3 linked regions of the Xenopus tropicalis genome follow. The protein of the gene in region 3 purifies or fractionates together with the protein of the main gene of each other region. This does not show direct contact. Links are inferred from orthologs where the notes say so. Each region holds a gene or a part of one and is shown on either strand. Other genes may lie near its edges.

Region 1 (4,607 bases), on a different chromosome or scaffold from region 3:
AAAGTCTAATGTTTATCAGTACATTACAGAAAATAATGAACTTTATCACAATATGCTAATTTTTTGAAAAGGACCTGTATGTGAAACAAGGTCTCCAGTGTAAGCATTACTTACAATACAATTGGTTAACTACAAAACTACAGCCAATTGCTCACTATAGGCAGGATGCTAGCCAAATAGTTACAGTAAGGGCAAAAGCAAAACATGCCAGACTTGGAAAAGACCGGCTATTCTGTAGGTTCTAAGTTATATTTTTATTAAGGTTTTTTGTGGACAATTTCCACTCCATAATTTTGCCCTGCAATACTGAAATATGACAAGGGTGTTTTTATGCAACTACGACAGTGTACAACAGTTATATTTTGTGCAATACTTACTGGTTAAACAGCATAGATAGCATTAGCTCATTTGTTTCCTCTGGAAGGTTGGTGAGGAAGAGGATGTGGTTAGGTGGGTTTTCAGAAATCTAAAAAAAAATAAAAAACAGCATTCAAAGTTATGACTGAAAAACTCAGACACAGGCAGTTTCTGTGGACAGCTCTTGAAAGACACCAGGTTTATTGGGAGTTGCCAGTATATTAAAGGAGATGTATCCTATAAAAATAATGAATGTACCAGTGAATTTTACTCCTCTAGATATAGAAGGATTGCGCTTAAAAAAGTTGTGCTTCTGGCAGGGACCATTAGGAAACGCCCACTCTTCATTTTAAACATGGTCAGAAGAGAGGATCTATAGGGAGCTCCAATAAAGGGGCCATTTTTACAGATTGGATTAATTTTAAGCACAAAGGGAAACCAGCACCATATATTATTCATAATTGCCTACAATATTAGGGTTTTCCCCATTTATCCAATATGTCTCCTTTAAGCACCGCACCCCCTCCCCCGAAAGCTGCAAAGAATAGTTAAGCTAGCAGACATCAGGTACTCTTTATAAAAGCTAGCGAGACTATCACCCACAGACAGATCTGGTGATGTAGTCTAACTTACTGGCTGCATGGGTGCCATCTGCCCAGGCATCAGGTGTCCATGGGGCATGCCTCCTGGTGGGATCTGTCCTGGTGCCATCCCTGGTGGTGGCATCATACCAGGGTGATGCATGTAGGGTGCCTGCCCAGCCATATGCATCATGCGTGGAGCTTGAGTCATACCAGGTATATTTTGCATGCCCTAAAAAATAAATAAAATTATGGCTGTGCACAACATAACGGGTTTCTTTCAAGAAAAAAAAAAAATTGTATGTATTTACCGCCATCTGTCCTGGAACGCCTGGAAGCAACGCAGCACCTGGTAAAGCCTTTTTAACACCCGGAGCTTCCTGGCCTTTCACCTTCCTCTTCTCCTGCCTCTTTCTGTCTCTTTCCACATAGGTACCTTTCATTTTGGCAATGATGTCAGAATCGGATTTTGAATATTGTATTCTCTGGAGTAAAAGCAAAATCAGCATAAAGACTAAAATAACCAAGTTTTAATGGAATGGGAGGAGATACTGTATGGAAACTGAACAGAATGTATCCACCACCACCCTACCCAACTTGGCTTTATAGTTCTTTTTTTCTAAAGAAATAATGAGCACAGATAAACAAACAAGCCATATATTTAATTGCACTGGGTGTGGGATTCCTTTAGCAACAATGTGCACAGCTATCCATGCAAACTACCTAAGCAGATGTAAACTCCCACACATTCACAAGTATTAACCCAGGAGCCCTGTAAAAATATTATGAAGGATGGTTATTGAAGATGTTATTAACTTATGTACAATATCCTTTTCAATATGGGAGTGCATAGTTTCTTCTCAACCCCTCAATGAAAATTAGCATACACCCCAAATATGCACGTACAAAGGTATGTTTACTTTATAGGCAGGGGGATTTGGAAAATTGTTTCTAGTCCTTTAATCTGCCAGTAAGATGGTATATACACCCATGTCCTTTCATATAAATATATGGGTCATTCCACTGTCACTGACCATTTTTCCATAAAGTGTCAGATATCATTCATGTCTCTATAACCATAGACTTATCCTAAAAGAACACTTTGAAGTAAAGTAAATGAAAAATGGGAAAAAAACTACAATAAATACTAACCATTGGTTTATCATAAAAGGGAAACCCCTGCATTGACCTCAGAGCATTTGTGGCACTGCTTATTTCTTTAAATATAACAAAAGCCTGTCCTCTCATCTTCAGGCTGCGAGACACCAAGATATCCAGAATCTGACCAAACTGTGAGAATATGGCATAAAGAGACTTCTTTAGCTCTAAAGAGAAGAAAGCAAAAGTCAAATCTTTGGATTTTCAAAGACCAAGTAATTCTAAATAGCACTAAATTGCAGTAATGTAAACACTGGTACAGAGATTTAGGTTGCGCTCCAGGGATTGCTACAGCCTTAACTCACCATCTTTTTTAATTTTCTCATTCAGGTTGTTGATGTAGATTGTGTTATTAGGCCTGACTTCTTGAACAGCCATACTTCCTCAACAACTTAATCTGAAGGGAGAAAAAAAGGGTTAATTGCATCTTAAAATAGAACAATGCCCTGGTATAGTCTGTACATAAGCCCAGTTATGTATGAGCAGAGTGTGCATATAATATACCAGTGCCTATACTACACGCAGACTTATTTACTTGTGCAAACTAAGGTCTACAATATATTTTCCTTTGCGAGCCATATAGTAGTAACATAGTATTATTAGTATTATCAACACCCAGATCATAACAAAACTACACAGCCCCTGACACAGCCATGCAAAGAACACAGGGTAACATTAAAGTTGAAATATCACAGCCGGGACCTGATTGTGAGAGGCCCGTAGTTGTTGTGGCACAGCTAGGAAGCGGGAAGATATAACAATGAACGGGACGGAAGCATACTTACCCTCAGCCTGGATATGATACAGTTAAAAGGGCCGCCAAATTAAACGCTGGGCTTGTGCTACGATACGAATACGGTACGCTGGAAAAGAAATAAACTTCCCGGATGGAACGTACAATAGCAGGAAATATTTCAAGATAGCAACGCAAGTCGCATGCACTAAAACCCAATGTGATTAACTGAGATTGCCGCCACCGGAAGGCCTTGTACCTAAATTCATTCAACGCCCAATTTACGTCTAACTTAGGCCGCGTTGCTACAGCAACTCTCGACGTCTTGCAGGTATATCATTGGTGACCTACCCAAATCTTCATCGATTGGCTGCAAGCCATAAGTGAAAGCCATTTCACCCTATAGCAATAACCCAAAGCAAGCCGCGCGACCAATGAAATCGGAGGCCGAGGCGTAGAACGCGGTGCAGCTGCTAATATATTCCTCCCGGAAACAGGAAACGGACTCCTGCGGCATACGTGACTATATTGTTTTGCTATTGTTGTAGGTGTTCGTGAATATGATTTCATGGCGTTTATAGCTTAGGTGATAGTTTTCAAGATACTATCGTTGGCAATTAAAATGAATAAATTAACCTGTACAGATGAACAAGGGGATACATATATGGTTTAGTACACACGTGGTCAAAGAATGTTTCCGAACTGAAGCCGGATCTGGTAGTTTTTTTCACCAACATGCTATAAAGTACGGTGTCAGATCTTGTTTACAACCTGTAGCTAAATCTGCAATGTAAGGTTTAGAAACGACATATTCCTCAGCGTCTCGGAAAATGTTTAATCTCTCACACAATCCCTCCCAGTAGCAACACAATTTCATCTCCGTGCAATGGCATTACTAGAATTACAGGGACCCAAAGTCAAGTCTTTTTAGAACCCCAAATTTGTATTAAAATGATCTGTTTAATGCGCCTGTAATAAAATAGATTTTCAGTTAGGACTTCCTTGGGGAGTTGATACAATGACCTGTTGCTTTGAATTGCTAGGAAGTGACACCCACAGTTCAGGGTCAGAGTAGAGAATTTAGCAAGGTCAAGATCTATTTTTACAGTAACCAGACCAGGGGCAATGGGTCACTGCAATAGCTTGCATTTTGCACCCCAGTTCTGTCCAAAGGCTGCAAAAAGGTGTTCATAGCACAATTTGCAGGGGCAGGTATAGAGACTGAATTTGCTACTTGAACTGCAAAGCTCAGAATCCTCCTTGCAAGATATTTGCTTGGAATTGTATATTTGCCATAGTTCTGGTGACAATATTTTGATATCCACTACTGAGGCCTAAATATCACATACTAATAGAATGTGGGCTATATAGTCTTTGCCTATATATTGCAAAGTATACTATATAATAATGCTTGAGGAACCCACAGACTCCAGACTGCTCTTCCCTGTACTAATTGCCAGTGTAGTAGTCTGGTTATGAGTAGTAAAGTATCTGGAGTCAGCTTCAGTTTTCTGGTCATTATTATTATTTATATAGCACCATCCCTTTACAGAGATTATACATCACCACATTAGTTCCTGCCACAGTGAAGCTAACAATTCACACACAGCAGGACCAGTTTTATCAGGAGCCAGTTAACCTGTGTGTATATTCGAGTGTGGGAGGAAACCTACACAGACAAGGAGAACATACAACTTCTTGCAAAACAGGATAATTGAGAAATATATGTTAACACCTGTTATAAAAGAATACAGTCATTGTATCACTGCTAAATAAAC
Region 2 (4,778 bases), on a different chromosome or scaffold from region 3:
AGCATTTGTACAGGATAGATATAAGCTTTAATGTCTATTTCAATGTCAGTTAAGAGCCACTGTAATGTATTAGTTATGTAGACAGTAGGCCCTGACTGACAATCTGTAGATTCTGCCAAATGCCAGAGTGGCTGCTGTAAGATGCCACAGACAATTACTAGGCCTGTGGGGGCACGGTTAGTAATTTGTACAATTTCAATTGTAATGCCAGGGCCTATTTTCATTTTCAGTCTCAGCCTTGTACACAATGTCATATACATTATAATGCAATCCTCCCTGAATGAATGTAGTAATGCAGCAGTTTACCTTTAACAAAATACAGCCCAGAAAATATGCAGACTTGGCTAATTATAAAAGCTAAAACAGACGTATTACCTTTGAGGTTTGCTATTTAGTGGTATATTCTGTATAAATATTTTGTTCTGGAAACACAAGACAGTGAGGTACAAGCATAAGCAACTGTGTAAAAGATGAAAATAGCTAGTGGACAGACAACACAGGGCAGATAGGTAGGTGCTAGTTAAGGGATCAAAAATCCCAAAAGAGAGTTAGAAAATAAATAACACCCGTGAGAATATGGTACTGATGCTGTAAGTACCTTCATACAAAAAAATGTGTTTTCATTAGGAATAACTTTTAATAAATGCCTAGTAATTTATATATTAAAAAAAAAAAAACACACACCTCTGGTGATCAAACAACACTTCCTTAAAATTAAAATATACAATCTCCAACTGTAAAGGGGATATAAACACAAAAATAAAAAAATCTTCTTAATGAAAGAAACTGATGTTCTAAGGAACTTTCCAAGACGCAATTATTACTTTTATAACATAAAAATCATTTCACAAAATGTAGCCTTTGTCTGTTCCAATTGCAACTACTCAGCTCTTCTCAACTGTTTATCAGTTGGCTTCTGCTACATTGTTACAAAAAAGCAAGCATCATGTCACCACTCTCTTCTTTCTTTGGCAGGTGCACATGTGCAACAGAATGAAATGCCAAACTTAAAGCAAAAAGCTCTTTATTTTTTACTCCAAGGGCTGTGACAGACAGGGAGATTAGTTGCCGCGAGACAAATCTCCCTTGTCATGGACGACTAATCTCCCCGAAATGCCATCCCACCGGCTAGAATGTAAATCGCCGATGGGATGGCATACGCGGCACCGCAATTTGCCGAAGTCGTGGACGTTTCCTCTCAAGGCAACTTCGGCAAATCGCAGCACCGCTTATGCCATCCCACCGGTGATTTACATTCTAGCAGGTGGGATGGCATTAATATCTGGGGTGTGCCTAACATTTTGCCGCTCGGGATACAAACACAATCATTTTCACCACACACCTGTATAAATATCACATCCACTGCTCTGGTGGTGCAAGCCTTCCATAGGACTGGCAGGTCCCTGTCTCCAGCAAATAGTATTGTAAGGGAGCCGCTCACACACAACGATATATGCCGTTGGGGAGCTTACCCCATTTATTGTGCCCACCTAGATCAATGGTTTTTTTGGGGAGGGGGTTCAGGACATACGTCCCATCCAGGCACAAGGAGGGTGTAGCCCCCGAAACATTGATCTAGGTGGTCACAATAAATGGGGTAAGCTCTGTTACAATACTGTGCCATCCCCCAGAGATTTTAACTTTCCTTCTCCTTTAAACAAGACCCTTCCTGAGCATTAAAATCTAATAACAACCTTGTTTTTCTTGAGAGAATCCAAGGATAAATGGCAAATTCTGCATTATGATGTTCAGCATAGGGCTGATGAATTCATAACAGGGCCAGAGTTATCATTCGAGCTCTTAGAATAAAAAAGGCAGGTACGTACAAGACATGCTTACAAAGCATGAAGGCGATAAGTAACTGGAAGCAAGGAGTTTTTGGTTGAAAGGGTACCTGTGCAATCCCCGTGGATCGAATGCAAATATTCCCGCCTCCTCTCACTCCCTAAACTATACAACGCATTCAACCAAACTGAAAAATTTCTTTTACGCATCCTATTACATTGTGTCAACATTCAGCAGTGCAAATTATTATTCTTACTTTAGTTGCCGTGTATGTATCGTTTCCCAAAATGTCTGCCACCACCGTCGCAGTTGTTACGTAACAATATTTGTCCGTCGCATTCTTTAATACGTCATACGCCCTACCCTCTCACCGCGCTTATATGCGACGGTCCGATTCCTACAGATCCGGAGGTTGGCTCAGACTATGTTCTAAATGTTGTTGGGTTTTTTCTGTTGTCTGAAATAATGCGGAAAAGAATTCAAATTGCTCACCATTACATTTTGTTTTGACAAACGATACGGTTATCCGGAAGTGTTTGACGCCCCCATATAACTATAGATAAGGAGAAGTATAAATAAATACAATAAGGAAATGATGAATGTAGTTATTGTAATTGCGATTCCCCAAAAAAGTGGGAACTAACATTTATTTTGGTAGCTGAAGTACACTTAGTAAAAGTGGCATAGCAATGCTAATGTCTTCTATATCTGATGGGTAAATGATACTTCAGTTGTGTTTTGCAGTGGTGGAAGCTGCCAAGGGCAAACTATTTAATGGTGTCCCATTAAAAGTATATATTCATTGACTGGATGGAGGTGAACATGCAGGAAACGCAGAACTCCTGTGTGAGCCAAGAGCTGCAAATATCCTGTAAATGATATCCTTATAAACAGTACTTAGTGATGAATCAGATATAATCAGCGCTCAGTGATGTAATCTCATGAGTTACTGGAACTTATGTATTATAATAAATAATGCACCCCCTGTTGTAATATATATCACCTTGGAGTTACATGACCTGTATTAAAAAAATCGCTATACATATTTAGAAATATCAAAACTTTCTAGTTTTACTAACAGTGGAAAAAAAGATTTTTTATAATTAGATACCATGTCAAAGCACAATCCACTCACCAGGATTCTAAGAAAATGAAAATGTGGAGCCTAATTCCTGCTAGGGGGGAAAGTAGTGTTGGTGGAGCTTATAAATCAGACATACAGACTTACTCATGTAAGCACAGGTTCAACCATTGGCACATACATAGATTTAGTAAGATATACACATGGCACTGACAGCACTGCACTAATTGTATTTCGGCTCCTCCTCTCTGGAACAGTACTAACCTCTGTGATTTAGCAGAAAACATTGTGCATATTGGCTGAGCAGCCTTATTAGTGCCCAAAATCTTGAGAACCTGTAGCAAATTTCCCAGGGACTGAGGGCATGTAGGGCTTGTTGCCCCTCAGTAACTCTGCCTAAATATAAAGGTTATATTTTCTCAATTGATATTTGCTCTCTACCCATTTAAAGGAGAAGGAAAGGCTAATAAAGAGTTAATCTCTAGCTGCAGGCATACCTTCAGTTCTTTCAATAGTGCCCTTAAAGGAACAGTAACTCCAAAAAATGAAAGTGTATAAAAGTAACTAAAATATAATGTGCTGCTGCCCTGCACTGGTAAAAGTTGTGTGTTTACTTCAGAAAGTCTACTATAATTTATATAAATAAGCTGCTGTGTAGTATGGGGGAAGCCATTCAAAGGAGAAAAGGCACAGGCACAAAGCAGATAACGGATAAAACACTATTGTATTCTACAGAACTTATCTGTTATTTGCTATGTAACCTGTGCCTTTTCTCCTTTTTTCCAGCTTGAATGGCTGCCCCCGTGGCTACACAGCAGCTTATTATATAAATTATAGTAGTGTTACTGTAGCAAACACACCAGTTTTACCAGTGCAGGGCAACAGTGCATTATATTTTTATTACTTTAAAGTTCTTTTATTTTTTGGTGTTACTGTTCCTTTAAGTCTCCCTATATTTCTCCCATTCAGATGATCAGAACACTGAGCTCTGTAAAGAAGGTTCCCATAATGCCTCACTTCTTAATCTCAAGCTGCAGGCATACCTTCAGCTGTCTCAATAGTGCCCTTAAGTCTCCCCATATTTCACCTGTTCAGAAGATCAGAAGCCAAACAGGAAGAAAAAGCACTGAGCTCTGTAAAGAAGGTTCCCATAATGCCTCACTCATGCAGCAAGACCAAGACCGGTGTACATGCTCAGTTTGTAAGACTATGAGGAAGCTTCCTGCTGATTGGCTCAGATCCACATTCCTAAGGGGGGGGGAGAGAGTTCTTAGCATTCTTGAGGGAGGGGGGAGCAGGAGAGAGCTGCGTGTCTCTGGCACAGGAAAACAAACAGACAAGAAATCCTGTATCTTTTGAAAGAGAAGTCAGTGCAGCGTTTCTGTATTATGTCTCCTTTCCCCTTCCCAGTTCATCCGCTTGTTGGTGTCTTTTTCCACTAACATTGGAGTTTTTTCCCTGCTAAGATAATGGGCAGAATTTGTCTAAAAATCAACCAGTGCAGATTGTAGAGCAAATTGTAATTTTCTCTGCTAGCCTCTCCCTGTCACTTCTCTCTTGTTCTTTCCCAGTTCATACATCATATCGCCTTGTACACTCGATTTGTCCACATAATGTGGGCTTCTCTGAGACCTTTCAGTCCTGCTATAACCTTTATTTTATTTTTCTTTCTTTGACTCCACTTTTAAATAAAACTGCCTCACTTATAGCAAGAAAGGCAATGAGTACGGACATCCCAGGCACATTATATACACTGAGATGCAGTCTGTATTTACAAAACCAGCACATTATATGCAGTGAGATGCAGTGGGTACTGATGGCATACATTCAGGCCCTCGCACTATAACACTGGGAGGACGATACAGTATAGTACCTGTAGGAATGGGATGATACAGTATAGTACCTGTAGGAA
Region 3 (4,140 bases):
AGAATAAGTTGCCCAATTAATCCACGAGTATCAAAGCATAGGATTAATCTATCCTGTAAATGATGACAGCAGAAATGCAAAGTACATTGCATGCAAGAATTAACCATAAAATGTCTCACCTCATCCATATCTTGAACTTGAGTATCTTGGTCCATCTGAGAGGAGGAATCCTCTGCTTTGTTGTTCTTCACTTCATCCTCATCATCAGATTCCACTTCCATCTCTACCTCCTCACTCTCACCAAACTTCTCATAGCGCTCCTGGATAAGTATTCGAGCCCCTAGCTCTTCTGGAGTGGTTGGAGGTGGGAAGTTACCTGTAAAAGGCAAATATTTTCATAAAACTTATTATACGGTAGAAGGGTTCAGACTCACTTGCACAAAGACTATAAAATATGGTAAGACTCCTTGTCCTACTGATTCATACTGTATTCAACTATATCTACTTATCTGTGGTATTATCCAATTTTAAAAACCCAGACACAAAGTAACTAGCACAGTAATTTACCCAAGGTGTTTTTGCAGGGCACATCTCCCAGCACTTTTTGGGAACCACCAAACTCCCCTCTCCTGCATGCAATTCTCTTGCTGTGATACAAAACGGTTTGCAAAAGTCGGCAGAGGCAGTGTATTTACAGCAGCACACAGTCCAATTAGCTTCTATAAAACCTGTTCTATTACAGCAACAGGGTGGGGGAAAAGAACAAGTTTTTTCCCCACCCACCCATTTTTTCCTAGGGATGAATGCTGTAGTTGTACTTTCTACAGCTAATTAGGAAAGGGAAAATATATCTCTATTCAAATGCACTTGTTGCATTACCTTGCTCATTTGGTTGGAAGTCCACAGTTTCCACTACCACAAAATCATGCCAGTCTATTTGTGCATAGGCAACACGTTCTCTCTCTTTCTCTTCTTCCTCTTTTTTCTTCTCTCTTTCCTGAAACTTTGCCCACTCCACACGATAACGCACCTACTTATAGAGTACACAAAACATTTGTGAGAAGAAAAGGCAGAAGGTAGAGGCACATAGACAATTATTGCAAAATGTTGATAGCTGCATTGTTTTATACTAACAAAAGGCTAAACTAGGTAAACTTATTCGAATTATTTACTAATACATCACATAGGCATTTGTAGTTAGGGCTCTGCAGTCAACTTCTTCCACATCCATTTAAAGGAGATGGCAAGGAAAATTTTATAAATGGTACCAATGCATAGTCCCAGTATAGATAAAGAAAAACACTACACTTTGGGCTCAATTATAGTAAGAGAAACTTATAAAATCTTACCCGAAAGTTTCAGTGTTATCTAAGGTTTGGCGCGGCCATCTTTGAATTTGTATGCCCACTTCCTCTCCTTTGGCGTATTTACTGCGCATGCGCGAGCTTCCTCCCTCCCCCCAGCCTAGGTGCTCCTTGAATGAATGAACGCCGCCGGAGGCTTCTGCTTACGGCGCGTCGCCATAGCAACGAGACGCTTGCTAGTGCACGCTTCTAGGGGCCGGCTCAAGAGATCTGATTGCAGGGAGTGCGCCTGCTTGTGCGCCCCCAGAGAAGAGACAACTGCGCATGTGCCGTTTCGGTTGCAAGTCCTGAAGTCTGGCAATCAGCGAGGGATTATGGGAACTTTCTGCACACAGCTCCTAGCTTTTATATCCGTTTTGGCTTATCTTCTTGTAATCCATGGAGATATGGGGAGACTTAAGGGCACCTTTCAGACTACGGATGGTAAGCCTCCAGCCTGAGATTAACTCTTGTGTAGCCTTTCCTTCTCCTTTAATCAACTGATTCTGCACAGACTTTGCTTTGAGCATGCAGAAACAGGAAAGGGCCCTCCCCAAAGTGTTGCCAAAAGGTAGGAAGCATAGCGTCAAAAATTGCACTGTATGTAGAAGAATTCTAGTTTGTTTTTACTAGAATCTGGGTTCCTACTCCAAACTACTTTTTTTTGTTGTTATTTTACTCCACCAAACTAAACAAAAGCATTAAACATTTAGGCAGGTAGCATTTTCCTGGCTGCCAGACTGTGAACTAAGGTTCATTACACATTTAACACATTTACACTGCTCCAGAGCCCAATGGCAGCAACCTTAAAGGAACAGTAACATCAAAAAATTAAAGTGTTTTAAAGTAATTCAAATATAATGTGCTGCTGTTCTGCAAAAAACTGGTGTTTTTGCTACAGAAAAGCTACTATATAAATAAGCTGCTGTGTAGCCATGGGGGCAGCCATTCAAGCTGGAAAAAAGGAGAAAAGGCACAGGTTACATAGCAGATAACTAGTAGATAAGCCCCATATAATGGGGGTTTATCTGTTATCTGCTAAAAAACCTGTGCCTTTGCTCCTTTGAATGGCTGCCCCTGTGGCTACACAGCAGCTAACTTATATAAACTATAGTAGTCTTTCTGAGGCAAACACACCAGTTGTAGCAATGCAGGGCAACAGTACATTATATTGTAATTACTTTTATACACTTATTTTTTGGTGTTACTGTTCCTTTAACATCACTCTAGCCAATGTCTGGCATTGTGGAAGGTGTTAGGTTAATCTGCATTTACTTACAAAAAAAAAATAATCCTTGAACCAATGCTGCTTTTAGAGAACACTGGACAGTTAGGTTAATAACATAATTGGCAAAGTGATAGCTTTGCAAGGTTAGCTTTTACATACTCTAAATTGCATTTAAGACTTAAGGAGCAACTACATTGCTATAAATAAAAAAATAACTTGCTACTTACTGAATAAGCAGCCTTAAAGGACATGTAAACCTCACACACACAAATTTAATCAGTGAACATCCTCTTGGAAATCTTTCAATACCTGCTACTCTGGTTGTCCAGAGGTTAATAAGGTTAGTAAGGCTGCAACATCCCCTAAATAACTAAGATTTCCTTCTCCTCCTGTAAGCCACTCGGTCCCCTCCCTCAGGAATTTGCTTTGACTTTTCATTGACTTCTGGCTTGTGGGCATGTTTAGTTGTTCTAAACTCAGATTACTAAACACGCCCTCCAGTCTAGCAGCCAGTGAAGAGATGGCACTGCTGGTTTCCATAGAAACTCAGCTCTAGCTTTCTGCTTCAATTTTTTTCTCCTAACTTTCTCTCCTGAACTCAGTCCAAACAAAGTAGAACTTTTATCAGACAGTTCTGCCTATGTGAGGCTGCATTCTTGATGAAATGTAAGCTGAATAAGGGTCCCAGGGTGAAAGCTGCTATTTGCTTTACGAAAATGTGATGGTGCTGGCAAACGGATGGGATATATGCAGTACAAATAATGCCATTTGGGTGAAAGAGACGTGCCCAACTTAGGCTTTATGTGTCCTTTAAAACAGAAAGTATACTTGGAGCCAACATAAAGACTGTAGAGTAATCAACAAAAGTTCTAATTTACAGAAATGCAGGTAGAATATATTAGAAGGCAGAGGGTTGCATTACCTGATCCAATACTTCTGTTGGGTTTTCAGCTTCTTTCTTTAGCTTTACAAGTAATCCTTTTGGTGGTATCAGGATCTGAAAGAAAGAGATTACCAGAGGGATATCAGGGGCACAGTGCACGAGAGCCATCTCTACTTAGAGCCTATAAATGACAATATTGACAGTGCAGCTTAAAGGGGGTACTAAAACCTGCTGCACTGCACTGCTAAACCAAAGTTTACTTAGCTGTTTTTGGACTACAAATCCCAGAACAATAACATATAATGAAGTTTGTGGCATGCTAGGAGTTGTAGTCCAGCACAATCAGGGTTGCATTTTTAAAGCAATAGAACTTTTTCTAATCCTTTCTCCATATCTCCAGTGCCAGCAGCTGCATTAACATGCAAAAAATCTACCAATTAGAATCCCAGCTAATCTTTGTAAATCTGGCTCCCTGTTCTTTTCAAGATGCCTGGCATAGTGCTGGGAACCAGTGTTCTCGGTCTCTTTTCTTGCACTTATGAGGTTTTTTTAGTCAGTAAAATGCTCATTGGTGGATTTTCTTGCATCCAAAATTACGTTTTTTGACAATTTAGCAAAACTAGGGGGAGCAGGGGGACAGTATTATTATTGGGTTTACAACCCCTTTAAAAGATAGTTAATACTTGTTAACAGCTGCATTTTAGTTGCTCATAAAAATATTCAGCCACTCATTTTATACAATATGA

The links.
Region 1: the proteins of sf3a1 (region 3) and snrpa fractionate together in Homo sapiens (co-fractionation; 3 studies listed by BioGRID and IntAct, with this or other methods). This does not show direct contact. The link is inferred for Xenopus tropicalis from reciprocal best matches to the Homo sapiens genes SF3A1 and SNRPA.
Region 2: the proteins of sf3a1 (region 3) and sart1 fractionate together in Homo sapiens (co-fractionation; 3 studies listed by BioGRID and IntAct, with this or other methods). This does not show direct contact. The link is inferred for Xenopus tropicalis from reciprocal best matches to the Homo sapiens genes SF3A1 and SART1.

The regions. Positions count from the first base shown.
Region 1 is NC_030684.2:78,498,034-78,502,640, reverse strand, and holds the start of snrpa (U1 small nuclear ribonucleoprotein A), read right to left. Parts: upstream 3,116-4,607; 5' UTR 2,882-3,115; intron 2,821-2,881; exon of another isoform or gene 2,799-2,820; intron 2,494-2,798; 5' UTR 2,475-2,493; coding exon 2,402-2,474; intron 2,264-2,401; coding exon 2,091-2,263; intron 1,424-2,090; coding exon 1,250-1,423; intron 1,171-1,249; coding exon 991-1,170; intron 467-990; coding exon 378-466; intron 1-377. Other genes in the region: UPF0692 protein C19orf54 homolog, read left to right, coding at 3,474-3,546. UniProt on the Homo sapiens protein: Component of the spliceosomal U1 snRNP, which is essential for recognition of the pre-mRNA 5' splice-site and the subsequent assembly of the spliceosome. U1 snRNP is the first snRNP to interact with pre-mRNA.
Region 2 is NC_030680.2:38,861,492-38,866,269, reverse strand, and holds the start of sart1 (U4/U6.U5 tri-snRNP-associated protein 1), read right to left. Parts: upstream 3,116-4,778; 5' UTR 3,048-3,115; intron 2,243-3,047; 5' UTR 2,042-2,242; intron 1,982-2,041; exon of another isoform or gene 1,895-1,981; intron 1-1,894. UniProt on the Homo sapiens protein: Plays a role in mRNA splicing as a component of the U4/U6-U5 tri-snRNP, one of the building blocks of the spliceosome. May also bind to DNA.
Region 3 is NC_030677.2:144,342,140-144,346,279, reverse strand, and holds part of sf3a1 (splicing factor 3A subunit 1), read right to left. Parts: intron 3,509-4,140; coding exon 3,434-3,508; intron 971-3,433; coding exon 820-970; intron 317-819; coding exon 120-316; intron 1-119. UniProt on the Homo sapiens protein: Component of the 17S U2 SnRNP complex of the spliceosome, a large ribonucleoprotein complex that removes introns from transcribed pre-mRNAs.